7 linked regions of the Sus scrofa genome follow. The protein of the gene in region 4 binds, or shares a complex with, the protein of the main gene of each other region. Links are inferred from orthologs where the notes say so. Each region holds a gene or a part of one and is shown on either strand. Other genes may lie near its edges. The genes, in order: EPC1, PHF12, VPS72, MORF4L1, ING3, SIN3B and RUVBL1.

Region 1 (4,205 bases), on a different chromosome or scaffold from region 4:
TTGCCGAACCTATTAAGCCTATCCCCAAAGTCTCTGGTTTTTAAAATATTCTGCTGGAAAGAGCGCTCTGGATATTCATTTTCGTGTGCGGTAGAAACCAAGCGATAGCCATCAAGTCCATCTAAATCCCTTCTAATAGTACAGTTTTTCTTTCTAATTTTTTAAAATGTATTTTTTGGTTTGGCAGGAGCATTATAGGTCTTCCTATAATTTTATAAAGTTTCTCAGAGAACAGATGATAAATATCAACCCATGGCTACACTGAAGCAGCATTTTCTTCCAGTACAGAAAAATCACCTGACTCTAAAATTTGTGTTTGTGCACACACACGAGTGCTTGAGCTATATGGTAGGTCCTTCTTTATTTATTTTATATATAGTAGTATGTATTATGTCACTCCCCAATTTCTAATGTATCCCTTCCCCTCACCTTTTCCCTTTGGTAAGTTTGTTTTCTATGTGTGAACCTGTTTCTGTTTTGTAAATAAGTTCATTTGTATCTTTTTTTTAAGATTCCACATATAAGTGGTATCCTGTATTAGTCCTTCTCTGACTTACTTTACTCAGTATGATCATCTCTAGGTCCATCCATGTTGCTGCAGATGGCATTAGTGTGTTCCTTTTTTATGGCTGAGCAATATTCCATCGTGTATATGTACCACATCTTCCTTATCCGTTCCTGTCTGTGGATGTTTAGGTTGATTCTTGGCTATTGCGAATAGTGTTACAATGAACATTGGGGTGCATGTGTCTTTTTGAATTGGAATTTTGTTCGGATATATGCCCAGGAGTGGGATTGCTGTATCATTGGGTTGGCTCTAAAATTTTGACGTAGGTCTTGCTTTAATTTTTTTCCTGAAGGTTACGGTGTCCGATAATAATTATTTCCTTTGCTTCAGTGACAATAAGAGAGTGACTATGGGTCGATAAAATGCAAGATTAAAAAAGAAACAAAACACTAAACCCTACTTTGGAGCAGCTAGGACGCCTGCTTATACTGAGCCCAGTGATGGGAACTGACCCGTGATCTGATGCGAGCCCATCAAATACAATTCAGAGTTTCCTTAGACGCAAACATAATGGCTGGTAAAAGTTCACCCGAAGTGGCGTTGCGCCCTGAGCGTCCTTTGCATTTTCCTTCCGAGGCCTCAACGCGCCGGCTGGCGGGGCTTGGGCGCCCGCTCACCCAGGACCCGGCCGCCGGCGGTGACAGGTGCCATCCCGACCCCGCGCCGCCCGCCGCCGCCGCCTCGCGGAGCTTCCCTGCACCCTGGCCTGTCAGCAAACGGCGCCGCGCGGGAGCGAGCGCGGGCCGGCGGGCGCGCGGGCCGGCGAAGCCGCAGCCGGCCCCCGGCGTCCGGGCGCCCGGCCCGTCCGCCCGCGGCCGCGGGGGCGGGGGCCGAGCCGCCGGGCGCGGGGAGCAGGGCCGGGCGCCGGGGGTTGGCGGGACGCGCGCTCCGTGCCGGCGCCCGGCCTCGAGCCCGCGCCCCCCCCGCGTGCCCGCGCCGCTGCGCGATGCAGTGTGGGGAATGGCTGGGGTTGGCTGAAGAGCGCACAGTGGAGTTTTAATGTCCGCCATGTTGGCCATGGCGTATTGAGGAGAGCGAGCGAGCGAGGAGCGGAGCGGCTCGGCCTCCCACCTCCCGGCTGCTTCGAGTGCCCGGACGGCGGGCTCCGCGCTCCGCCCCTCCAGTCCCCGGCAGCGGCGGGCGAGTGGGGACCGAACCCCCGGTTCTCCATGATCCCGCTGGCCGGGGCCGTTTCCCCAGAGCGGAGAGGTATCTGCTGCGCCTGAGATGAGTAAACTGTCGTTTCGGGCGCGGGCGCTAGACGCCTCGAAGCCGCTGCCGGTTTTCCGCTGTGAGGATCTGCCCGACCTGCACGAGTACGCCTCGATAAACCGGGCCGTGCCGCAGATGCCCACCGGGATGGAGAAGGAAGAGGAGTCGGTACGTGTTAACTCCCCTGTCCGACCCGCCGCCAGGCCCCGCTCCCTCCGCTGCCTGCGGCGGCGGCGGAGCACAGACCCACACAAAATGGCCGCCATCTTCTCGCCGCCGCCGACTCCCGGCGCCGGCCGGGCCCTTACCCCGCCGCCCCCGGCCTCGACCCCCGGCCGCCGCGGCCCGGCGGGGCCTCCTTTCGGGCCACCCGCCGACCCCGGCCCCTTGGACCCGGGCCCCGCGCAGTTCGGGCGCCCGAAAGGCACAAAGGGGTCACGTGACAAGGCTGCCGGCAGCCATTTTGTGGTCGGAGCGCTTGGGCTGGGCCTGGTGCATCCGGAGAGGGAGCGGGCCGGGCGGCGGGGGTGCAGCGGCGGGCCCGCCTGCAGCCCTCTCCGCGGGCCGCTGGGTGGCGCTCTGGGGCCGGCTCGGCCTCCGCGCGCCGCCGGCGCCGGGAGCGCTGGTTCCGGGCGCGCCGGGGCACTGCTCGCCCGGCTGCCTGCGATCCGGTCCGGCGGTGCGGCCCCACGTGGAGCCCCGGCGGCCGGGCAGGGGGCGGCGGGACTGCGGGCCGCGGGAGGTCCCGGTCTGCGGGCGGCTGGGATCGGACTCCTCCTCTCCGTCCTCTTTCGGGACTTTTGCATCCACTTCTCCCGACTTCCAGTTAGTCGGAGGGTGGGTGGTGAACTACTTCTGTTCCCGACTTTTGCTTTGATCCTGGAGAATACGTTGCAGATCTGGGGCGTGTTGGTGGCTTTTCTGAAAGCCCGTAACTTTATTATTACTTGTTTCCCCGAATCAAACCTATTTCCGCCTGATTGCTGGTTGCTCAACCTAGAGGAGAAAAGACCGCATTTAAAGAAGATGTCCTAGATTTGAATTTAGAAGGTGGGCTCTTATTCGTAACCGAACAAAAGTTAAGTGATTTCCTGCACCGAAGTCTTAACAGGGAGATGTCTTAATCTGGGTGGGTGTCTCTATCTTAAGTGTTTTGCATCATACAGACATTTTAATCGTAGCCGTGGCTTTCCCTTGTCGTGGAAGTTGGGCTCAGACACAGGGATAATAGAAAAAGCCTCTCCTTTGCCCCAGATCCTTGACAGTGTAACTTGCTGACTTGTAATCCTGAGGAATTGCATACCTTGGTTTTCAGGTACAGCCATTTTAACAGGGTGCAGTGTATTGACAGTTCAAGGAAGTGGAGGAGTCCCTGGATTTGTGCTACAGATTGGTTTTGGAAAATTGCCTTGTATTACCTCCATTTGGTACTGTAAGAATTTTAAATGTGGAAATTATTCTCTGTAACGATGACTTTGAAAATAAAGCTGTTTAAACTGTTTGGGTTGTTTAACCTTTTAAAGTCAAATAGTTGTGACGGTCGAGTGTTACTTTTGAGAGTAGATGCATTTATTAGCTTCTGTAGCAGTTGTAGCAGCACCAGCGCGGTGCTGACTTTGAGAAGGAACCTCTTAATTTATTTTACCTGTATCAACTTTAGAGTAGAATGGTGCCATTTGTTGACTTTTAAATAAGTGACTTGTTTTTAAAAATTAAAGTACTTGTGATTGCAGAATCTTGTCTTTTGGTTTTATTTTTGTTTCTGTTGATAAGTTTTACAGATACTCCTTTCAAGTTGGGGTGTCAATATTAACACTGCCCTGGAAATTCATTTGTAGTTTTTGTTTTGCAGGCGAGGAAGGGGAGAGACTTGATAAAAGCAGGTAGCACTATAGTATACTGAGAAATTTAGTTCAGTCTTGCTTCTGTGGATACTTTGGACTGTCCCAGGAGCCACAACCTGAAGTCAAGAACAGAGCTCAACCGAAGTATCAATGTTTATTAAATTTGACAGATAATTCTTGTTCACTGCAGTCATTCTCACGTTTTATAGCACAGTGGACATCATTCCCTTGTAACACGTGTAGTCTGTTTTTAAGGGATTTTTTCCCCTTCAGACTACCTTTTGCCATCATCTCTTTAGAATCAGTTTCACTTCACGGCCAACCAAAACTAAGACCAGTGAAACACAGACCTCAGGAATAGATAGCTGAATAGAAGAGTGTAAGCAGTCCCAGGTGAACAGCTGCTTTGCAGTCCTGAGGTTCAGCCTGGTAGGAAGAGGGGAAGAAGAGGCGGTACAGATCATAGTGTTGAATGTAATTCATAAATACTGAAAATGTGTGTGCTAAGCACAAATAAAAAGTAGTTGAGCTCTGAGTTAGCCTTAGAAAAACAAACTTTTTGATTATTTTTGGCTGAAAAA
Region 2 (3,500 bases), on a different chromosome or scaffold from region 4:
TGGATCTGGTGTTGCTGTGGCTGTGGTGTAAGCCAGAGGCTATGGCTCCAATTCAATCCCATATTCCGTGGGTGTGGCCCTTAAAAAAAAAAAAAAAAAAAAAAAGATAGAATGCCTCACTGAGCAGCAGTCAGAACTGACTTTCAGCTCTCCAGATGCCATACTGGGCACAAGGCAAAAGGACCTGAGGCAGGGAAGACAAACAGCTGAGAGTTACCTTTCTTGGTCCCTGTCCAGACACCTGCTGGTTAAACCAGTGAGCCCTGAAGGGTGCCTCCCTCCTCCCTTCTAGCCTCTATGGGTGAAGGTATCCATCTTTAAGCTCACCTGTCCCGATGTAGAGGGTTCGATAGCACATGTTCACAGCTCCTCCCAACCCTAAGAGGGGGTAGAACACAGCTCGGGCCTGTACCTCCCTTCTCTGCACTACAAGGCAAACACAGGGATGTGATCATTCAGAAACAGAACCTGGGACCCAAACACGCATCAACAGAACCTGTGCTCAAACACAAACCAAAAGGACCTGGACCTCTGGCTCATGGTCTGGAGAAGATAATCCCATTGCATGAATCATCTCTCCAAACACACATCTGACACTGTGCTGTTTCAGGGGGAGGCTTTCTCTCCCCACTTACAGCATTTCCCACATGGGGTAATAAGAAGGACCATTTTTGAAGATGGCCATATAATTCAAGGACGATAATACTGGGAGCTCTTGGGCTGTTGGGTGGTTTATCAGAGATATTACAACAGATACTATAGGAAGGTTGTGCAAAAAAACCCAGAAAGCACAGACCAATGTTTCTCTCAGTTTAAATATGAATCACCTAGGGACCCTGCGTAGATTCTGATTCCATAGGCGTGAGGTGCAGCCTGAGCTCTGCAATTCTAACAAGCTCTTAGGTGATGCTGATGCTACTGGTCCGAGGACCACACTTCTAAACAGCAAGGCTTTTAATGGCTAATCCTCAAGAAGATACCCTAAGCAGAGTTAACCTTTTGGGAAGAATTTCCAGGAGGCTAGCCCAACTGTTATTGTTTCTAACCTTAAACTTGAAAAAGTACCTTTTGGGAAACCCTTCTAATTCAAATACTTGAAAGGAATTGAGCAGAAAACACACCACATATACCCAAAGGCACTCATAGCTGCTTTCTGTGTCCCCAAGTGGATGTGTATGAAAGAGTCACAGCAGACTTTCCCGAGTCTGATCTGAAAGCTGTGGCTGCCATCTTTTTTCTGCTTTCTGAGAAAAGAAACCATGGTGCTTCATTAAGCCCAGTAAAGGCAGACAGGGAGGACGGGAAGACTGAAAGCTGAGATTCCCCACGGAGGGGAGACGGCTGTTCACACATGCAGAGGGGAGCTCTAACGGTGGGCTGTGGTGGCAGATGTGGGCACACGCACCTTCTGTGTGGTGGCCTCCAGAAGCCAGCGGATGTGCCCCGACACTGCCCGGTGAAGCTTGGACCCGGGAGGGGAAAAGCTGATGTATTCTCTGCAAGGCCAGAAACTTGATCAGCTTCTCATCCAGCATATTTATCTCGATTTCTATTAACCAAAGAAAAAGATTAAAAAAAAGCAGCTGAGGAGGAAATGGAAGGTGGAAGGAGGTGAGGGTCAGACAGCAAATATTTCAGCAATCCTAAAATTAAGCCAAATGATGTTTCCCAAACCAGAGTACAAAGCGGTACAAAGATCTGGAGCCGAGCATCTCACTAGGCATGTGCAATGCGAGGCCCTAACACGGCCTGTGCAGACACCTCCCCAGTGAGGTAAAGTGGCCCTAGAAAGGTGAAGACAGAGCACTTGCCTGCCCGTGGGGAGGGCCCAGATGTCTGATACAGAGGCGTGGAGTTTCCACCCTCCCACTGTTCATAGTGATCCTGGCCTGCCCGGTTCTCCCTGATTTCGCGGGTTTCTCACAGATGAGGTCCCTATTTTGGGGGTGAGGCTCCTCCTGGTCTTATTCTTCAAGCCCAAGTGATCTGCCTAAAATGCCTTTCTTCTCTTCTCACTGGTTCCACTTGGCTCTGATTATGTGTGTATGCATGTGCACAAGGCAGAAACTCAAGGGGCTTTCTTTCCTATCCCACCGCCCAGCCCTCTGAGACCCCACAGCCCTCTGGCCCTTTTCAATGAGCTGAATGCTGCACAGGGGCAGCACCTTCACCATGGCAGCTGGTGGTGGAGCAGCAGCTCGCTCACTCACCTCCATTGACATCCATAAATGCTCGAAGTGAGTTGGTGAGGTCCACCATGGCAGTAGAGTTGGCTGGGAAAGAGGGTACGGTTAAAGCGCTTCCTATGGATAACGTGCCGGGGCTGACCTTGCCATCTGGGGACGGAGCAGGAAGACTGTTACTTACGTCGCCTCAGGGAAACCCACCGGTCCAATCCCCCACTGCCGAGATAGGTCTGGATTTCGGACCCAAGGTGATGTTCCCTTCTTGATTCTCACCCCATAGGCTCTGGAACTCCTAGAGCTAAAAACGTGTGGTGAGGAAGGGCAGGTGGAACGACAATGCACCCGGGCACGCAGGAGTCTCCAGAGCACCAAGAACCAGTGAAACCTACTGCTCTGGGGAACATGGTGGGACAGCTTCATTCTCTGGGCCATGACTACCTCCCTGCTGCCTCTACTCACTCAAATAAGTGATGCCTGCCTCCGCAATTCCTGGGTACTGAAGCAGAACTCACGGGGTGCAAAATCTACCTAGGTTGGTGTTGACAGAGAAACAGGAAAAGAGCCTGAGAGTAGGGGCCATCCTGGGACCAGGGGCCCCCATGCAGAGAAGTCACAGTCACCTGGTTACCGAGACTCCCAGCTGACTAGGAGGCCAGCTTCAGTTCAGTCGGGAGAGACCACAGGGGGTTCCAGCAGCATCTGAAACCTGGTTCAGATGCTGGCATCAGCAACCTTGAGGTCCTGAATGCTGACTGGGGACAGCTGAAAGAGCGGGTCCATACCAGGCCAGTTATGGATAAAGGGACTGCCTTTTGGCATGTGGCCTGAGGGCAAACATTTGGGCCAGACCAATCTCTGTGGGCATCCCACTCTGCGTACCCTCAAAGGCAGTGTTATTTTATATCCCTAATTTCCCTGACATGGAAATTCCTTCAAAATGAGCCAGTGCCGAGGATCTGGATCAGGTGTGGGTCAAGAAGCACTGAGGCCATAGCCCAGAACCACAGGCTGAGCGCAGGGCTCCAGAGAGCATGCTGCTTTCCTCTAAGGTGATGGAACCAAACAGGCAGGAGACTAAGTCTGGAAGGGGTGGAAAGGTGGAGTCAGGAGACCCAGGCTGTCTTTATAATCCTGCTCTGACTTGGCAGGCCACCTTACGCAATTACCACTTTAGCTTTCAGAGCCTACGCAGTCCTGCCTATAAAACAGGGACAAGTTAACATGTACTTTCTCTTCTATCACAGAATTGGGGCGGGGGGGGCGGTGTGGAGGACAAATAATAGAGATCAGAGTCCTCCGAAATATTCACAGGGA
Region 3 (4,150 bases), on a different chromosome or scaffold from region 4:
TGGGCAGATCAAACAGCAGGAACAAAGGTGTAGAAGCAGGAATGCGTATAGCATGATTAGGGAATAAGGATTTGGACCTAAGTAAAGCAGGTTATCTCTGGCAAGAAGTTGTCCTAGCTGATTGTCTTTGGCGCTAGCACAGACAGCCTCCTTCCAACATTAACTGACTGCCCTGTAGGGCTACAAGATTAGAAAAGAAGGAAGTTGCCTCGGGGCCCAATGGGTCACGTTAGCTTTGCTGTGAGTTGTGATGTAGGCTGCAGACCAGGCTCAGATCTGGCGTTGCTATGGCTGTGGAGCAGGCTGGCAGCTACAGCTCGGATTCAACAGCTAGCCTGGGAACGTGCATATGCTGCAGGTGCAGCCTTAAAAAGGCAAAAAAAAGAAGAAAAAAAATCACTTGGAGGCGAAGGAGTTAATTGGGTGGGGCAGAACTTCAAACATGTGGCTTTCTCTTCAATCAATGATGAGACTAACGGGCTAATCTTGGTATACACACTGCCAAAACAAGCAAATAACAGACAGTTGACACTCCAAGCCTGTCAGCTTCAGTCTTGCACTGATGACCATCATTTCCTCCCAACTGATGTTTGTGAAAGACAGCCTGGGAACATGTTAATCCCCTTAGCTCTGACCCTACTAAGTCATATCACCAGAGGTAGCAGTTCAACTACACATTAGCTTAATGCCCAATTGAAATGCTTTCACTAAGTTATGGACTTACTACCATTCCTTTGGCTTTTATCAAGGGTCATTAATAGACATGACTAATCAAGAGACTGTTTTTACATCATCTACCAAACCCCTGTTACTTTATATATAAGGACGCAATTCTCCCTAGGATTTAATGTTGAATAAGTTTGTCTCTCTTAAAGAACTTGTATGCTTCTTTCCTACTGAAAAAAGAAATTCAGGGTTTGGCTGCCAGGAAGCTCACAGCTAAATTTAAAATCAATTGCTACTACCATTTTAGCTGAGGCTCTTGGTACAATTACTTCTGATCTGTCTCTATTTTTACTGTTCCTACTTTTTGTTTATATCGTAAGCCTCCTTAAATCCTTTTTGGAAGAAGGAAGGGTACATATTAAATAACAACTCGTAAAATGACAGGAATAGGAAAATGGCCTTTGGAGGAGGGATGGGAAAGTTCTATTTTAAACTACTTGCTTAGGGGGTTGTTGTGATGATTCCTAATCAGTCACCAAGTCCTGTGGATTCTATTTCTCCTTAATTTCTCCTGAACCCTCCTGATCATGTTTCTCTACTCCCGCTGCCTTCTTCAAATCCACAATACAGAGTGATCTTTATAAAGTACAAATCTGATCATAAAACTATGACAAATATTCTCAGTCCTCTGGATGAAGAGCAAAACTCCTTAACATGGCTCACAAGCCCTCCATGATCTGGCCCACGCCTACTCCCTCCAGCCTGACCAACCTTTATTCTCCTTCATGGTCTGGATAATGACAGTAGATATGCAGGTCCCTGACAAGGATCTCAGCGTTTTTATACATCTCTGCCCCACCCCCTCGCTGGACCAACCCTCCTCCTTCCCCTGCTCCTACTCCTACCACTATTCAGCCAGCCAAGGCCACTTTTCATATGGTCCTCAGCTTATCCTGATGCCTATCCCAAACAACTTTGGCTCCATGTGGAATTTAAACTGACTTAATTCAGCTAGTTCCCCCACTGGAATCTGGAATATGTCAGAACAAAATGGTGGGGTCTGTTTTTTGGTTTGTTTTCTTTTTGGCTGCGCTGGAGCCATGTGCAACTTCCCCACCAGGGACTGAACTGGTGCCAAAGGAGGTGACCCAAGCGGCAGCAGTGACACCATGCCCTTAACTGGCTGAGCCACAGAGGAACTCCCCAAAGTGGTGTTTTTAATACTCTGTTTCCCTAAAGCCTATCACAGTTCTTGGCTTGCTCTATGCGTTTAATATATTTGATGAACGGTTAGATTCAATCAATATAAAATTTAACAAGTGCCAACCCAATGAGGACACTGGACCAGGCATTGGACATGTGTACTGTTAAACAAAACAGATTATCTCTAACCTTAAAGCGCTTACAATCTGATAGAAAAGTATAAACAAGCCAGCAAAAGCTATTACAAATCGAAATAGGTTCTACGAAAGATATATAGGGAGAAACTTCTTAGCACAATCAAGGAAAGGCTATTTACCCAAGAGACATTTACACCGAGATCTGAAAGCTGAAAAAGGAGTATGCTAAGTGCCTCTATTTTTTCTTGAGAGAGATTTCTTTTCTATACTTGAGATGAATAACCAGGCAGTGGGCCAACGAGCATACACCGCGTGACTACGATGTGCTGTATGCTAGACGTCAGAAGTGCAATGAGAGATGCAGCTGGGGAAGTACACAGCAGGTTTCAGCCATCCAGGACTCTCCCTTCCAGGACTCCAGTTTATCCTCCAGTCTCGCCCACCCCATCTCGAGTATCAGCTACCAAGGATCCTCTCTTCCCCCACCCCCTTCTTTGTCCGAGGTTTCTCCCTTCAGGACTCCTTTCAGCTTCCTTCCCTCCCTCTTCCTGGGCCCGGCTCTTGCCTCAGTGAAACCCCCATAAGTCGTCTGGTAGAACTCATCTTCCTCCTCTGCCTCCAGGAGACCAGAAAGCCGGTTCCCTGCGGTCTTCCGGGGGGCCCGGCCCCCAGCCAAACTCATAGTGCCTACTCAGACTGCGCCACCACCAGCAACCCCTCACACAGCGCGGTCCTCAAGGATCGGCTCTCGACACCACTACCTGCGGGCGGCATGCGACGGCGGAAGCCGGTCATCTACAGGCAGAAGTAGCAGAGCGTCGAGAGATTCCTAGTCCCGCCCCCGAAATCTTCTCACGGCTTCAGCCCCGCCCACGCCTGCGCAGAGACTACCCCAAGCTCCCCGCCCCAGTTCCGGCGCCCATCTGGGCTGTGAAATACTTCGATTTGGTGACCCCCAGAAACCCCGCTACACTGAGTGCAGAAATCGGGAGCCAAGAAATTTTCATTTAGAAGAGGTCAGTCTCCCTCTGCTCCAGTTCGTTTTCCACTCTGCTGCCAGTAGGAACCTTTCTAAAAACCCAGATTTTGTCACACTTTTGCTCAAAAATCTTTAATGGCTCCTTCCTTGTCGACTTACAGGGTAAAGTCCAAATGTTTTTTAAATTTAGTTTTTAGTTTATATTGGATTATAGTTGATTTTCAATGTTGTGTTAATTTCAGGTGTACAGAAAAGTGATTCAGTTATACATATACCCATTCGTCTTTTTAAGTAAGTTGTTTTTTTTTTTTTTTTTGTCTTTTTGCGGTTTCTTGGGCCACTCCCGTGGCATATGGAGGTTCCCAGGCTAGGGGTCGAATCGGAGCCGTAGCTGCAGGCCTACGCCAGAGCCGCAGCAACGCGGATCCCAGCCGCTTCTGCAACCTACACCACAGCTCAGGGTAACGCCGGATCCTTAACCCACTGAACAAGGCCAGGGATCAAACTCGCAACTTCATGGTTCCCAGTCAGACTCGTTAACCACTGAGCCACAATGGGAACTCCTTAAGTAAAATTAAAAAAAAAAAAAAAAAATTCCCCCTTTTTCGGCAACCCGCATGACATGCAGAAGTTCCAGGACTAGGGATCAAATCCAAGCCAGAGCTTCGACCTACACAAAGCAACTTCTGATTATCTATTTTATTTTATTATTTTCTTTTCTTTCTTTCTTTCTTTTTAGGGCTGCACCCGCTGCATATCGAGGTTCCCAGGCTGGGGGTTGAATCAGCTACAGCTGCTGCCCTACACCACAGCCACAGCAATGCAGGATCTGAGCTGCATCTGTGACCTACACCACAGCTTAACCCACTGAGTGAGGCCAGCGATTGAACCCGAGTCCTCATGGATTCTAGCCGGGTTCGTTAACCGCTGAGCCAAGACGGGAACTCCTGATGTTTGTCCTTCTCTGCCTGAAAGTCCAAAATTCTTGTGGCGGAATAGTAGCATGGCTGAGAGCTGAGTTGTAGAGCCAGCCAGACCTGAGTTTGAGTTTGAGTTTAAGGTCTTCTAGCTGTGTGACTTTGGACAAGTTGTTTTGCCTCCCTGAATTTTAATCTTCTCATCTGTAAAGTGACACTAATAAGAATACCTACACTTTTAGGTGGTT
Region 4 (3,500 bases):
ATCCTTACAGTATAAAGATATCAAAAAGAATGTTGAATTTCCTTGTGGTGCAGCAGGCTAAAGATCCAGTGCTCTTACTGCAGAAGCTCAGATTACTGCTGTGACTTGGGTTCCATCCCTGGCCTGGGAACTTTCACATGCTGCAGGGGTGGCCAATAAATAAATAAATGAATTTTAATTTCAAAAAAATAAGGCACAGGAATCCATAATAAGCTGACTTTAAATTAAAGAACTAGGAGTTCCCATCATGGCGCAGTAGTTAACGAATCCAACTAGGAACCAGGAGGTTGCGGGTTCGGTCCCTGCCCTTGCTCAGTGGGTTAACAATCCGGCGTTGCCGTGAGCTGTGGTATAGGTTGCAGACGCGGCTCGGATCCTGCGTTGCTGTGGCTCTGGCGTAGGCCGGCAGCTACAGCTCCAATTCGACCCCTAGCCTGGGAACCTCCATATGCCGTGGGAGCGGCCCAAGAAATGGCAAAAAAGACAAAAAATAAAAAAATAAATAAAAAATAAATTAAAGAACTAAAACTGGTTAACTTTGTTACAAAGTTATGTAATTCTCTGTGTCTTAGTTTCATTACATATAAAATGAGGAGTAACAGTACCTATCTCATAGGATCATTATGAAAATTATACATGTAAAACACTTGAAAGTTTGACACAAAAAATAAACACTCAAAGGTATGTCAGACACATGTATCTACAATACTCTAATACCACCTAGATCAACTCAGCTAAGACTGTATATTGAAGTGTTACAGGAAGTTCCCTTGTGGCACAGCAGGTTAAGGATACAGCATTGCCTCAGTTGTGGTGCAGGCTGCTAATTGCAGCCTGGGTTGGATCCGTGGCCCAGGAACTTCCACATGCTCTCCCCTCCCCCAAGTGTTAAAATAGTTATTAAACCACATCATCTTTTTTTTTTTTTTGTCTTTTTGCCATTTCCTGGGCTGCTCCTGCGGCACATGGAGGTTCCCAGGCTAGGGGTTGAATCGGAGCTGTAGCTGCCAGCCTACGCCAAAGCCACAGCAACACGGGACCCGAGCCGCGTCTGCAGCCTACACCACAGCTCACGGCAATGCCGGATCGTTAACCCACTGAGCAAGGGCAGGGACCGAACCTGCAACCTCATGGTTCCTAGTCAGATTTGTTAACCACTGTTCCACAACACGGAACTCCAACCACATCATCTTAAACCTTCACTCACGAATACACCTACTTCCAACAGATAGCCACAAGAATGCCTTTCTAAATAACAAAAGGTAGAACCAACCACTCTCTTAAAATATCTAGTTGCTAAAGCATTCTGTCACTTGGAAAAGCTCCTTCAGGACTTCCCACTGTGGCACAGTGGGTTAAGAACCCAAGTGCAGCGGCTTGGGTAGCTGTGGAGGTTTGGGTTCAATCCCTGGCCCAGGAATTTTTTTAGGCCTCGCCTGGGGCATGTGGCCAGGGATCTTAACTGCACCACGGCAGTGACGACACTAAATTCTTAACCTACTGAGCCACAAGGAACTTCAAAACAAGGTATTTTTAAAATATTTATTTTATTGACATATCGTTGATGTTGTTAATTTCTACTGTACAGCAGAGTGATTCAGTTACACACACATATATATATATATATATATATACACATTTTTTTTCATAATCTTTTCTATTACAGCTTATCACAGGATACGGAATACAATTACCTGTACTATATAGTAGGACTTTGTTCAAAGCAAGGTCTCTGATGTGATTTTTTTTTCCAAAGGGAAAAACAAAGGCCAGGTTATTTCTTAGGGAATGCTGAACTTTTTGTGCAGATTCTTTTCTCCTGCTGATGGAGCTCCTTTATTGACACTATTAGATGTATTCTCAGTTTTTTACTTAATGACTTCCCACCTCTGACCTCTAAGATAGCCAAAAGTAGAATAAATAATAAAATGCAACCCTCAACATGATTTCCTTGAGAAAACTTTAAAACATGCATTTACCTAGAGGTCAGGAGGGGGTGGTGTACTGAGGGAGCTCCTTCAGGAACAGGAAAAAGGGCTACAATATCCTCACGTCTCTTCAAAGTTTTTTCAGAGCGCCTGGGCCTCACAGCACTTCTGATACAGACAGCATAGTACAAAGTAATCTCAGTAACTAGGTGTAGAATTTAGCTTAAACTTTATTAAGATTTATTTATAAATGGAATATTTAAATGTCTGTGTCAGTGAATTCCAATAAAGTTTTCCCCTTTTTAGGGCCACACCCGTGGTATATGGAGATTACCAGGCTAGGGGTCAAATGAGAGCTACAGCTGCTGGCCTATGCCACAGCAACGCCAGATCCAAGCCGCATCTGTGACCTACACCATAGTTCATGGCAACGCCAGATCCTTAACCACTGATCAAGGCCAGGGATCGAACCCTCAACTTCATGGTTCCTAGTCAGATTGCTTCCACTGTGCCATAACTCGAACTCCCCAATAAAGTTTTTAGAAATGTTACCTATTGTGCTTCTGAGAAAGTATATACTATTTATTGAAGTTTAAGAACATTCCAATTTGGAGATTGGGCTTTAGTTATACAATTTTCTAAAAGGAATTGAACAAAAAATGAGGATCTTACTTTTATTTATGTATCTATTTGTATTTGTTTCAATTCTAAATTAAAGGGAGCTAGCAAATTTTTATTTACCACAAGGTTCCATTTAGAATCTTGCAAATTCCAATATAAAATGCATCTAAATAATGACCTTGATCTAAAAACCACATCAATTTTAGAATTTCCTTCACATGTCAGGAGCTGAAAACCCTTGGGGAACTACAGAAAAATGAAACATCTTTTGCTCTGAGGAACATCACTATTAGGGTAGTAACTGAAGGCCAAACATTCCAAAGTTTTACATATTGCTAAAGCAAAAAAGAATTTCAGAATTTTCTAAAGGAGCTTGTCATTAACTCCCAAAGTCACAATGATCCACAGCACTTTGTACACTGCACTAACAACACACTTGCTGTGTATTTGAGTAACTCATCCTTCTTTCTGTATGAGTTTATGTAAAGGCTTCTCTAAATGCTTACTAAAGATCACAATTTTCAAAATTACATGTATTTATCTACATAGTGAATCAACTACAAAAAAACCCCCCACATCCTTGTTAATATTCCTCAATGTCTACAAAAATATTAATAAAGATCTCCAATATTTAGTGCCATTTAAAAAATTCTTTTTCCAAGGAGTAATACACAAAGTGCACCAAAAGCAAAAACAAAATACTATGCAGCTTATGGAATTCCCATTGTGACTCAGTGGGTTAAGAACACAACCAGTATCCATGAGGATACAGGTTTGATTCCTGGCTTCCTGCAGTGGGTTAAGGATCCGTTGTTGCCCCAAGCAGCAGCGTCCATCGCAGATGTAGCTGGGAAATTGCATTGCTGTGGCAATGGATGTAGGGTGGCAGCTGCAGCTTCAATCTGATCCTTAGCCTGGGAACTTTCATATGCTGCAGGTACAGCCCTAAAC
Region 5 (3,500 bases), on a different chromosome or scaffold from region 4:
AAACTTCTTTTCAGGTATATGATCTGTTGTTGTATGGTGAGAAGTTGGATTATATTTCCTTTCTGAATATAAATAAAGAATTTATGTGTTTTTAAATTTTAGAGAACAATGGAAAAGGCATAATACTTTCATCTGGTCATAAGCCAATATAGTAATGACCTGAGTTCCTCATGGAATACAGAACATTATGTTTTCCTAGAAGACAAGACAAACAGAATCCTGTCTCACACGTGTTCCTAAGAGCAGACTGCGTAGACAATAAACTTTTTTGGAGTAGACACTAAAAAAACTTTTTTGTAGCAATGTACTGAAGATAACCCGTGATGCACATGGTTTAACATATAACATGTGGGGAATTTTGTTTTCAAAACATTTTCTACAATTTAAAATAGTCTTCCATCAACCTTTCTTTCATAGCAAAAAAATGCACCGATACAGTCATCTAGCCAGCTAGCATCTGACAGACCATTCATTCACTCACTAACTCACCAAACTATTTGAGAATTTACTATATGCCAGACAGTAAGGTAAGCACTAGAGAAGCAAGGATGAAAAAGATAAAGAGCCCATAATTGTGGAGTTTACTGTTCTGCTCAGTTATAATGCTCCCTGGAGAGAAGCAGGTATCGATATGCAGTGAGTATATGCTGCTATTAGTACCACACATCGCCCTCTGTGAATCCCAGGGAAAACAGGCTACCTGTTCCCAAATCACATCTGCTCTTCCCAAATGAAGAAGATAAATCCACCAGTAATTGCATGAAAAAACATATCTCACAAAATAAAAGGGGAGGATATTTGTTTCTCAATCAGTCGTGTAGAGGTAATGAAAGAGAACATATAGGTAATACAATGAATTTTCAACTGTCTTTAAAATAATTTTAGCTGCCCTAAATCAAACTTACTTTCCACTGGCGTATGTGAATGAGCATGGTGATTGTTCACGGGCTGTGAAGGCGTATCTAATTCCAGAGATCCTAAAAAAACAGGGAGGCACAGAGATACAGGGCCATGAGATCGCAGCAGAGAACTTTATGTGTCAATCAACTACAGGCACTGGGTACCCTTAACCAGGAGATGTCTGGCAAGCTCTGATGCCTGTGTCTGTATTATTTTAGCCAAACACATTAGAGGGTCACCACCGCCAATTTCACCCTGAGCCAACCTCATCCTCTTTCTAAACAGTAAGTAATCCATTTTTCAGTGCTCACCTTAAGTACAAAATAGGTCAAGGCACGCTAATGTCTAATTAGGGAATTCATGACATTTGGGACCATGTAAGTGGATGAATGAGTATCATGATTCCATTACTGATAAGAACTGAAAAACTCAACATAGTGTTATTGAAGACCTTTTAATAGGAGATCCTAAAGTATTAGGCAATGGGACATCACTGTATGAAAGAAAATTCTCTGATCATTAAAATGACATACGATAGCAAAGACTTTCTAAAAGAAGGGATTTTGCTCATGAAAAATGATGCATAAAATCTTTACCGCCAAGCTTTAAAATACTTTTGAAGAAATTTTCTGGGTTTATCTAGATCCCTTGAGATGAAATCATGGCAGGGCGCAGGGTGGAGCCATTTTTTAACTTGATTTGATTTAGTTTCATATGTCTGTGTCCTTACAGAGGATGCTTCATTAACCTTCCTGCAGTACTGAATAGCCATGGATTACTGTTACTCACAATTATTATTGGCATTTCAGAAAAATAAAATATTTTATTTTGTCTCAAAATAGCTATTATTCTTGGTAAGGGTTCCCCTGGAATAAAAACATCACAATAAATTAGATGGTCATCTAAAGTGATGGGCTTATTTTTGAATACAAAAATGCAACTGTGGGTACATTCATATCCGGTTGCTTCCCTAGCTGACTTCTAGTGAATACATAAACAGGGATATATAACCTAGCACCGTAAAGAAACCTTTCACCTGTGTGTAGAAATAGGTACATGTTCTTGCTATTGAAACGCACCAAGAAAAGAGATATTCGAACCCTTTAAATTCTAGTAGAAATCAGCCATAATGCTGATTTGATTCAACTAACATTTAGTGAGTGCCTACACTGGGCTTGCCACCACACTATCTGATTTGATGGACATTATCCATTTAGGTCGGAAGTGATGCTAAATTAGTTAAAGAAACAGAGCTCATGTCTCCATTTTAGGGAAGTCTCCTGAGTTAAACCCAAGAAGTGATAAAGGTAAATTATAGCGGGAGATCAAGACAAGGCTTGCAATGAAATATTAAAATGGCTTCTTACTGATAAGAGAAAGTTTAGAAAAGACTTTTTTGAGAAAAGGAGGAAGTGTTGAAGAACTCTTTAAAATCTGAGTAACACAGTGGAGGAAAAGCTTTTTAAGGCAGTTCTTAAGAAAAAATAACAACCTTCCTCAATACTTAGGTGCATAAACAGGCAGGGCAAAGTCACAACATCTAACGACAGATGGCTACCCTGCTTCTAGACGGTTATATTTCTTTAAATCTTTGTTCTTACCACTCTTCTAACTAGCATATACGCGTATTAACAAATGGAATGACCTAAGGCTTTATTTTCAGGAAAAGTGAGTGGTTGATATACTGCATCATCTCTCCAAGTATCCATGACCCAAACAGTCCGACTGCTGGGGACCAAGCTATACCACCCAGGTGCCACTGTTCACCAAAGAGCAGATGGAAAAGTCTCTGTGGGACGTGAGTCTCCTCAACGACGTGCACATGTACTGTCCAACGGTGATGGAAAACTGTAAATTTTACTTACGCCTCTCTAATATTTCTGTAATTCCAGCATTATCAGCTTCCAGCTCCATTTTAAACTTAGCCAGTTCCTGATCCAGCTTTCTCAAGTGTCGATCTACCTGTTTCAAAGAAGATCAAAGATAACCACCACAATTTGGGACACTATTAAAGTGTCAGTTTAATGAGGAAATCTAAATTTCTATTTCTTTTAGTGAATGTGCTTTTGCATCCCTGAGCAACTCAATTAACCTATACTGCAGGTTTTTAATCTACAAAATGAGGGTGCTAGGATAAATATCTCCCACGTCTCCTTGAATAAATTTTAAGAAACCAGAATTGCAATTTGTTAAAAAATGTCTGAAAGACGTAAGATGTAACTGATCCGAGAGATGAGGGGGTTAGTAACTTTTCACAGTATACCCTGGGGTTACTTTCAGCCTAATCTCCTACTTATAACAAGGCTATCCACACTGCCAGACCATAGTAACTGTTATTTAAAATAAGGAATGAAAAGATCCTCAGTCTACAAACAAAGAGGCTCCTATATTCCATACATACGTTTCTCTAAGGCAGGAAAGTGAACCATTATGCTTGTAAACATTTATGTAAAGGGTTGAGACAAAAGGGGTTTTTAGTAAGCAAACTCCTTTCCACAAAGAGCTTGGTCAAAATGGTTTTATTGTAATACTACTGCCCTTCGTTAAGGTGGCAAAATTGTTTTCTCACTAACCTAGAGATCTTTGAATTGATTTCAGAA
Region 6 (4,148 bases), on a different chromosome or scaffold from region 4:
TTACACCAGTGGTTCTCAACGCAGTAATTTTGCCCGCAGGAGACACTTGGCTATGTCTGGAGACATTTTTAGCTGTCTTGACTGGGTGGGGATCTAGTGGGTGGAGGCCAGGGACACTGCTAAACACTCCATGATGCCCTGGACAACACCCCCACAGCAAAGTGTTATGCCTTACACGGCAACAGGGTCGAGGAGAGAAAAAGACAATGGTTACCTTAGAAAAGTAAAGCTCAAACAGGCTTTTTCTCAGGGAGTCTGGTGAGCTCAAGCAAGGAGGGACTGCAGAGACAGAAGAGGCAGCAAGCTGTCATTTAAGAAAGAAGGGACCAAAGCCACAAGCCTGAGCTCAGTCAATGATCCTGTCAGCAGGTAAATGAAGCACAGCAACAAAAATGGCTAGTCACACATGCACCTCTGCTGCTTTTATTTTGTGGGTGGCACTGAGGGTGATCAGAAGGGGCCACAGGCCCAAGTACAAGTGAGGCCTGCCTAAGGCACTCAGAGGAAGAACCTCCAACCAAGACTTCAGTGACTGTGGACACAATTATCTTGACTGGACATAAAACTGTGTTAGAAGAATGCCTCCCTGGCACGCACAAACACATCCACTCCTGATTTAAATCTGCCAAAAGGATCAATTTGGGATGCAGAGCCTGCCTGGGTAGGTGTTTTGATCTATTTTGATTTGCGTTAGAAGCATTTCAGGAAAAAGACCAGATCTTCACCACCTTTCTAGCAATGAAGTACACGAGACACGCTGCCCGGCCTGCGTACCAGGGTGGGCTGTGCTAAGGTCAGATCATTCAAACCACGGCAGCCGCATACCTGGCTCGACAGAGGCGACTGTATGTTTAACTTGCCATTCTTGGGAATGTCTATTCTGTAGCCGAGAGGAAGGAAAGCGTTGAATCCGACAATGAGGTCAGGGTGTTCGTGGAATAGCTGTGACACTCGCCGGATGACTCCTGGAGTATCGATACTAGAACAAAGAAGAACAAGAGTGGGCAGAGGCGTCCTGGGGAGCAGATTAAAAGAGAAATCTACTCGTGACTCCCTTAACCGTGCCATGTCACAAGCTTCTCAACGGACAAAGAACCAACCACCCTAAAATGTGACTGGAGTGATTCTGCTGGTGGTGATCCGCTGCTAAGGCAGCCAGGCCTGGGCTCCCAGTGCCTTCCTGGCAAAATCCACAGAATATGTACACAGCACGGCTCCCAAAACACTGCAAGCACATGTGCTAGGTTCTGAAAATGTCAGGAGAGCCAATTTTAAATTGTGGGCTCCAAGAAGTGACATGTCAAAACCCTCTAAAGGGGAGATAAATTCCTCCATTTCGCATGAATTAGAGATGGACTATGACACTGGAGTTGTTCCCAGCAACTGACTATAATGCAAAGGCCATGCAAGTATGGAAGTGGCATAAGAATCGGAGGGCAGAGATGGGGTCTCCCTCAGGGCTGCAGTCAGGGCCAAGGCTTTAGCCTTGTGCCTGTGGAAGGCAACCAGGTGGGCCCTACCCTGTTTCCTTAGAGGGAGAAGCAGCACGGAGGGGATGTGACACTGGCGAATCTAAGTCAGACAGAACCAGTTCTGGTCCCGCCTCTGCCCCTAAGGTGGGTCTGGACAACCCCTTGACCCACTCTAAGCCTCAATGAGCATCCTTTCCAACAAGAGCACCATCGGGAGGGAGGTCTCCCATCTATCTCTAACCCTCCTGATTCAGTGCCTGTGAAAACAGCTAACATGTTTTAAATGCCTTCTTAGTGCCAGATTCCTTACTAAGCATTTTGTGCGCATTACTTCAAGTAGGCCTGGGACTGGAGTGAAGGGAGTGAGGAACTCACCTTGGGGATAAGATTTAAGAGGGACACAGTGCCAATACGGTCGATAACCAAAATTAATAACATTTTCATGCACTGCTTGATCAAAAGATAAAAATTAACTTTTAAAAAGCCTCGAAAAATGAAATTCACTTAAAAATCAACATTTTGAGTAAAGACGGGATCCTACCCTGTGTTTGCTCACTTGCCTCACCCCATCCCTGCCCTCGGTCCAGGAATCCCCACAACAGGGCCACGGCGGGGCGGGTGAAGGGGGGGGGGTCCCTCCCGGGGGGTCCCTCCCGTCCCAGTTTTTTTTTTTTTTTAAGAAGGAACTGAGGATCCGCTAAGTTCTGACCACCTGGGCAAGGTCACCCCGTCATGGGGCAGCCAGGGTAAGGGGCTCCCACCCAGCTCAGGCTGACTGCGGCCCAGGACGGTCCCCTGGGGTGGGCAGGGGCCCGGCAGGTACCTCTGGCTTTTGAATTCCTTCATGATCTCCAGGAAGCCGTTGTAAGTGGCAGGGTCGCTGCCGAAACGGATCTTCACCTGGTCCAGGTAGGTGAGGGCGTCCTCCACCTGCGGGGAGGGGAAAGTCCAGGTGGGCCGCGGTCTGCGGAGGAGGGGGCGGGGGACCCTGGCGGGAGGGGCAACCGGCTGGGCCTCAAGGAGCGGAGGTGGGGAGTCGGGGGTCTGGGGCTGCGCGGAGAGGAGGCCGAGGCGGGGCCGGGGCCGGGCGGGGCTTGGGTGGGGGGCGCCGGCCTGCGGGAACTGGACGACGGGGTGCTCGAGGGAGAGCTGGGGCGCCACTCACGTGCACTGGCAGCTTCTCATGGCCCGCAGAGCCCGAGCGACCCCAGCGGGCCCCGCTCAGCCCCCGGCCCGCTGGGCCGCCGCCGCCGCCACCGCCAGCGTGCGCCATGTTGGAAGTCGGAGCCACAGCCCGCCCCGCCCCCGCCCGGGGGCCGGCCGCGCATGCGCTGGCTCCGCCCTGAAGGCGGGGCTCTTTCAAGGACTCTGCGGTAGGATCTTACCCCATAAAACTGAAACGCGACTGTCCTGACATATACCACTGTGAGCAAACCAAAACCTGCCGCCTGCTTCTGTCTGGCCCCCAAAGCAAGATCGGAATAATTTTTACAATTTTAAAAGTTGGAAGAAAAATCCAAGGGAGAAGACTATTCCGTGACACGTGAAAATTCTATGAAATTTAAATTTCAGTGTCTGCAAAAATAAAGTTTTATTGGAACATAGGCATGCCCACTTGTTTACCTGTCATCTCTGGCTAATTTTGCAGTACAACAGCGGGGTGAATAACTGCGACAGACGCTAAGATCTACACAGCCTGATATATAATAAAATGTTCTTGACTCGTACTTGTAGGGTTGATGTGACAACCTGGTATGGGCACACAGCACCCTAGTTCAGGGCCACGGGGTTTGCCAAATTGCTCTTGACTTAGTCCTGTTCCTCCTCTCTTCGCTTCTCTAGTCCTGACCCCATGACTTCCCCACTGGAGCCTTTGGTTCCTGACCCTATCACTTCCCCACTGGACCCTCCCACTGGTTCGGGAGCCTCTTAACCAGTTTTTCCAGCCCCAGTGCTATCAAGAACTATCATTCCATAGCTGCTTCCAAACCTCCAAGGTCTTCCTATTTCTTTTTCTTTTTTTGTCTTTTGTCTTTTTAGGGCCGCACCCGCAGCATAGGGAGGTTCCCAGGCTAGGGGTCTAATTGGAGCTGCAGCTGCTGGCCTACGCCAGAGTCACAGCAATGCCAGATCCAAGCCGCGTCTGTGACCTACACCACAGCTCATGGCAACACCAGCTCCTTACCCACTGAGCAAGGCTAGGGATCAAACCCACAACCTCATGTTCGGATTCATTAACCACTGAGCCACAATGGGAACTCCAGTATCTTTTTTTTCAATGTGTGAAGAGGTGCAGGAAAGCTGAGAATACATTGGCAACAAGTGCATCATTTGCCAGGGGTCAGGAGTAGAAGGGTGAACAAAACCGACCAGGCTTTTACACTCACAGAGCCATCAGCCTTTCAAGAGGATTGGAATCAAATAATCACATACATAGATGTAAAGCTCACTTGTAACAAATACTTCAGAGAGAACATACAAATATAATAGTTATTGGGAATTCCTGTCATGGCACAGTGGAAATGAATCCAACTAGGAACCATGAGGTTTTGGGTTCGATCCCTGGCCTCACTCAGTGGGTTAAGGATCTGGCATTGCTGTGAGCTGTGGTGTAGGTCACAGATGCAGCTTGGATCTTGAGTTGCTAAGGCTGTGGTGTAGGTTGGCAGTTGTAGC
Region 7 (3,500 bases), on a different chromosome or scaffold from region 4:
GGGGTGAGGGTGGGCAGAGCAGATGGCTGGGCTCAGCAGGGTACAACCTGGCTTTGTGTCTTAGACTCAGTGACTCAGCAATTAAAATGGCAAATAACTGGCTGGAAGCACCAGAAGGGGACTGGGGATTCCCAGGGTGCTGAGGCACTGTGTGGCACAGTTGCTGCTCCATCTCCAGATCAAGCAAGAGGTGAGTGTGCAGGGAGAATTGGGACTGTGCCCCTTGGGATAAGGCCAATCTCAGGCATCCCTGTCATCTCCCACTGTGAAGCCCAACCCAAGTTGAACTCATGCAGAACTGAGCATGCACTATGCCGGGCACTGAGCTAAGTGCTGTGTGCCTCCTTCACGTCTCTTACTGTAAGGTTAGTTTTATGCCTTCCATTCCACCTGCCCTCTACGCCTATGAGGCTGCTTCACTACACCCCTAGGGCTTCAGCAGCAGCCCCAGGAAACCCTCCACTGTGACCCTGTCACAGCAGATGGGCTTTGCCAGGATTCAGGTTCTGTACCTTCCAGAGCTGACCTGCCATGGGTTCCAGTGGACCAGAATGCCTGGCTTTGCCCCTGGGCAGAAAAGGCTGTGGACAGGCTCTGGGCTGGAGGCTATCACAATCTGATATTCTAATGCCTCTTTCCTAAAGCTGGTGGTCTCCCTAATAGCTGTCATCAAGTTGATTTTCTCACTGTCCATTTCCTGTTTACCAGAAGGGACAGAATAGAAGCGAGAACAGCCAAGACCATAGGCACTTCAAGCCCAGCCATTGCTCAGATGGGGGCCAAGGCTCCGAAGCACTGAGACCTACTGTGTAGCCAACTCTGTGGTGGGAGGTGGGGTAGCCAAGGCTACTCTGCAGGCACTTTCCTCCTCAGCATCAGGGACACTGAGAGTGAAGGAGGGAGGCTGCTCACCTGTTTCATCTCCTGTGGGGTGTACAGCATGGTCCGGATGATCATCACTCGGTCCAGGAGGTCAAGAGGGATGCCGTGAGGAGAGGTGATGTCCTCCGTTCCCCTGCAAAGCCCAGAAAGACCACATCACTCAGGCCTGGGAGTGGAAACAGGCCCTGGAACCATGGCTGAGGCACTCAAGATGACAAAGCAGCTAGTTCCTGTCCTGAGAGTCAGAGGCAGGACCGCAAAGGGCACAGACTAACTCAGGTGGCGTCAAAAACAACTTCAATATTTTACCAAATATCAACACCACAGGACACTTGGGGAGGAGGAGAAAAAGCTACTGAAAATCATATTCAAAATATCCATATAGGTATTTGCCAAATTTTCATAAAGTACATTAAATACATAGACTTTTGTTGTCGTTGATGCCTTTGTCCATGTTACTTCAGTCTCTTAATAACCCATCAAGTGTCCACCAAAGTGCTGGGCATCTGGGCAGTTTCCATTTGTTACTGCTACTATTCATGGTGCTTTGATAAATAATTTTATACATTTAGCCATGAAAATTTCCTTAGCAACTCTCGTGGAGCCTGACACAACCCCGAGTATCTTCTTGGACAAATGAATGAATAAACCAATGTCCTAATTTATGCAGCTACTCGAGTAAGCTGATCCCACCACACTGTAGTCAACAGTGAGTATTCTAATCCTTAGTTTGCTGCTTAAAGATTTAGAAAATGGAAAGGTAACACATTGTCTGAATCTGTATTTCCTTGATTACTAAAGACTCATTTGAATATTTCCCATGTATTCATTCGTTATTTCATTTCTTTTGAGGAACTGTCCAATCATGTCATTTACCTAGCTTTTTCTTGAATCCTTAGCCAAGCCAGAGAACAGCCCAGGAGAAGATGCCTGCCAACCTGCCAGGCCACATGGCACCAGTTCTGGATGGGACATGTGCCAGGCAGGCCCCAGTGGCACACAGGCCATGCTTCCACCACATCTGGAAGCCCAATGAGCTGAGCCAGGGCTCCAGCTTCTGCCTTCAGGAGCCAGAGCAGCAGTTCTGGCCTCCCCACTTGATTTGTGTCCATGGTCACAACTCATCAATATAACAAAGAACAAAAGCAGGTCACTTGGGGTTAACTTTTAATATTGGAGTACTCAGTTTCAAATGTAAGTAAACATTCTAGAAATATAACTTCGGTAAAAGAAATCTGTTGAAATTCTATCCAGTCAGTTCAAGTACAAACTTGTATTTATTATCGCAAAAATAAAATGCTATCCTGACCCAGGCTACAACAGTACGAACCTTGAAAAGGTTATGGTAAGTGAAAGAAGCCAGTCATGGACAGGCAGACACTGCATGATTCCACCTATAGGAAATATGCAGAAAAGGCAAATGCACAGGGCAGAGTAGATCAGAGGTTTGCCAGGGGCTCAGGGAAAGGAAAATGGGACTTACTGCTTAAATGGGGACAAAGCTTCTGGTTTGGGATGGTGGAAAAGTCCTGGAAACTCTTCCAGATGATGGTGATGGGGCTGTACAACACTGTGAATGTGATTAATGCCACTGAATTTTACACTTAAAAATAATTAAAATGGGGAGTTCCCATTATGGCTCAGCCGTAATGTACCCTATTAGCATCCATGAGGACGAGAGTTGGATCCCTGGCCTCGCTCAGTGGGTTAAGGATCTGGCATTGCCATGAGCTGTGGTGTAGGTCGCAGACATGGGTTGGATCTGGCATTGCTATGGCTGTGGTGGAGGATGGCAGCTACAGCTCAGATTTGACCCCTAGCCTGAGAACTTCCATATGCCACATGTGTGGCCCTAAAAAAAAGACAAAAAAAAATTAAAGTGGCAAACTCTATGTTATACACATTTTGTCACAACAAAAACAATTCAAAAAAAGAATAAAATTATACATTAATAATTGTAACATTAATAACTAAGACCTTTCCAAATAAAAAGAGAAGTAGACTAATAACAAACACAAATATTAAGATAACTTTAGAGAAAACAAATCTTCACCAACAAACATTTCTAAAAATAATAAGGAAGAATTAAAGAGATAAAATTTCATCATGATTCAAATCTGAGTATTTGGTATACCTTCAATCTTCATACTAAACAAAATATCCTTTAAAAACTACATTTAATTTTTAGTTATTTAATTTTTTTCTTTTTAGGCCACCCCATGGCATATGAAGTTCCCAAGCCAGGGATCAGATCAGTTGTGACCTATACTACAGCTGTGGTGACACCCAATTCTTAACCCACCATGCGGGCAGGGGATTGAACCTGGGTCCCAGTGCTCCCAAGATGCCACCAATCCAGTTGCACCACAGCGGGAACTCCCAGTTATTTAATTCTGCTTTGGCCATGTGTTTCTTTTTTAAAAAGTCCTGTTTGGGTGGAGTCCCCATTGTGGCCCAGTGGGTAACGAACCTGACTAGTAACCATGAGGTTGTGGGTTTGATCCCTGGCTTCGCTCAGTGGGTTAAGGATCTGGTGTTGCTATGAGCTGTGGTGTAGGTCACAGACATGGCTCAGATCCTTAGTTGCTGTGGCTATGGCATAGGCTGGCAGCTATAGC

The links.
Region 1: MORF4L1 (region 4) and EPC1 share a complex: the UniProt entries of both Homo sapiens proteins name them as parts of the nuA4 histone acetyltransferase complex. The link is inferred for Sus scrofa from reciprocal best matches to the Homo sapiens genes MORF4L1 and EPC1.
Region 2: the proteins of MORF4L1 (region 4) and PHF12 are in contact, whole or in part, in a cryo-EM structure (PDB 8BPA), measured with the Homo sapiens proteins. The link is inferred for Sus scrofa from reciprocal best matches to the Homo sapiens genes MORF4L1 and PHF12. Residues at the interface, in NP_996670.1 of Homo sapiens: Glu201, Lys204, Pro205, Leu207, Val208, Asp209, Trp211, Asp212, Tyr251, Ala252, Glu255, Val256, Gly259, Ile260, Glu262, Tyr263, Val266, Met267, Thr270, Gln271, Leu272, Leu273, Tyr274, Lys275, Arg278, Pro279, Tyr281, Ala282, Leu285, Arg304; in NP_001028733.1 of Homo sapiens: Cys62, Glu64, Gln81, Cys82, Asn84, Pro86, Pro204, Leu206, Arg207, Arg208, Pro209, Phe210, Leu212, Leu213, Ile214, Ala216, Ala217, Arg220, Asn221, Pro222, Thr223, Gln224, Phe225, Gln226, Leu227, Pro228, Glu230, Leu231, Thr232, Thr330.
Region 3: MORF4L1 (region 4) and VPS72 share a complex: the UniProt entries of both Homo sapiens proteins name them as parts of the nuA4 histone acetyltransferase complex. The link is inferred for Sus scrofa from reciprocal best matches to the Homo sapiens genes MORF4L1 and VPS72.
Region 5: MORF4L1 (region 4) and ING3 share a complex: the UniProt entries of both Homo sapiens proteins name them as parts of the nuA4 histone acetyltransferase complex. The link is inferred for Sus scrofa from reciprocal best matches to the Homo sapiens genes MORF4L1 and ING3.
Region 6: the proteins of MORF4L1 (region 4) and SIN3B are in contact, whole or in part, in a cryo-EM structure (PDB 8BPA), measured with the Homo sapiens proteins. The link is inferred for Sus scrofa from reciprocal best matches to the Homo sapiens genes MORF4L1 and SIN3B. Residues at the interface, in NP_996670.1 of Homo sapiens: Gln217, Gln219, Tyr222, Ser348, Tyr350, Glu351, Val352, Ala353, Pro354, Pro355, Tyr357, His358; in NP_056075.1 of Homo sapiens: Cys394, Arg396, Arg402, Ala403, Pro405, Lys406, Thr407, Tyr408, Ser462, Phe463, Pro464.
Region 7: MORF4L1 (region 4) and RUVBL1 share a complex: the UniProt entries of both Homo sapiens proteins name them as parts of the nuA4 histone acetyltransferase complex. The link is inferred for Sus scrofa from reciprocal best matches to the Homo sapiens genes MORF4L1 and RUVBL1.

Annotation. Positions count from the first base shown.
Region 1 is NC_010452.4:42,913,223-42,917,427, reverse strand, and holds the start of EPC1 (enhancer of polycomb homolog 1), read left to right. Parts: upstream 1-1,405; 5' UTR 1,406-1,795; coding exon 1,796-1,948; intron 1,949-4,205. UniProt on the Homo sapiens protein: Component of the NuA4 histone acetyltransferase (HAT) complex, a multiprotein complex involved in transcriptional activation of select genes principally by acetylation of nucleosomal histones H4 and H2A.
Region 2 is NC_010454.4:45,133,256-45,136,755, forward strand, and holds part of PHF12 (PHD finger protein 12), read right to left. Parts: intron 2,893-3,500; coding exon of another isoform or gene 2,831-2,892; exon of another isoform or gene 2,491-2,830; intron 2,485-2,490; exon of another isoform or gene 2,337-2,484; coding exon 2,211-2,336; intron 1,550-2,210; coding exon 1,406-1,549; intron 427-1,405; coding exon 328-426; intron 1-327.
Region 3 is NC_010446.5:98,060,911-98,065,060, reverse strand, and holds the start of VPS72 (vacuolar protein sorting-associated protein 72 homolog), read right to left. Parts: upstream 2,801-4,150; 5' UTR 2,689-2,800; coding exon 2,572-2,688; intron 1-2,571. UniProt on the Homo sapiens protein: Deposition-and-exchange histone chaperone specific for H2AZ1, specifically chaperones H2AZ1 and deposits it into nucleosomes.
Region 4 is NC_010449.5:48,060,111-48,063,610, reverse strand, and holds part of MORF4L1 (mortality factor 4-like protein 1), read right to left. Parts: intron 2,097-3,500; coding exon 1,980-2,096; intron 1-1,979. UniProt on the Homo sapiens protein: Component of the NuA4 histone acetyltransferase (HAT) complex which is involved in transcriptional activation of select genes principally by acetylation of nucleosomal histones H4 and H2A.
Region 5 is NC_010460.4:25,956,000-25,959,499, forward strand, and holds part of ING3 (inhibitor of growth protein 3), read right to left. Parts: intron 2,863-3,500; coding exon 2,766-2,862; intron 978-2,765; coding exon 906-977; intron 63-905; coding exon 1-62. UniProt on the Homo sapiens protein: Component of the NuA4 histone acetyltransferase (HAT) complex which is involved in transcriptional activation of select genes principally by acetylation of nucleosomal histones H4 and H2A.
Region 6 is NC_010444.4:60,788,861-60,793,008, forward strand, and holds the start of SIN3B (paired amphipathic helix protein Sin3b), read right to left. Parts: upstream 2,801-4,148; 5' UTR 2,746-2,800; coding exon 2,638-2,745; intron 2,403-2,637; coding exon 2,296-2,402; intron 980-2,295; coding exon 826-979; intron 280-825; exon of another isoform or gene 215-279; intron 1-214.
Region 7 is NC_010455.5:72,238,381-72,241,880, reverse strand, and holds part of RUVBL1 (ruvB-like 1), read right to left. Parts: intron 1,016-3,500; coding exon 913-1,015; intron 1-912. UniProt on the Homo sapiens protein: Possesses single-stranded DNA-stimulated ATPase and ATP-dependent DNA helicase (3' to 5') activity; hexamerization is thought to be critical for ATP hydrolysis and adjacent subunits in the ring-like structure contribute to the ATPase activity.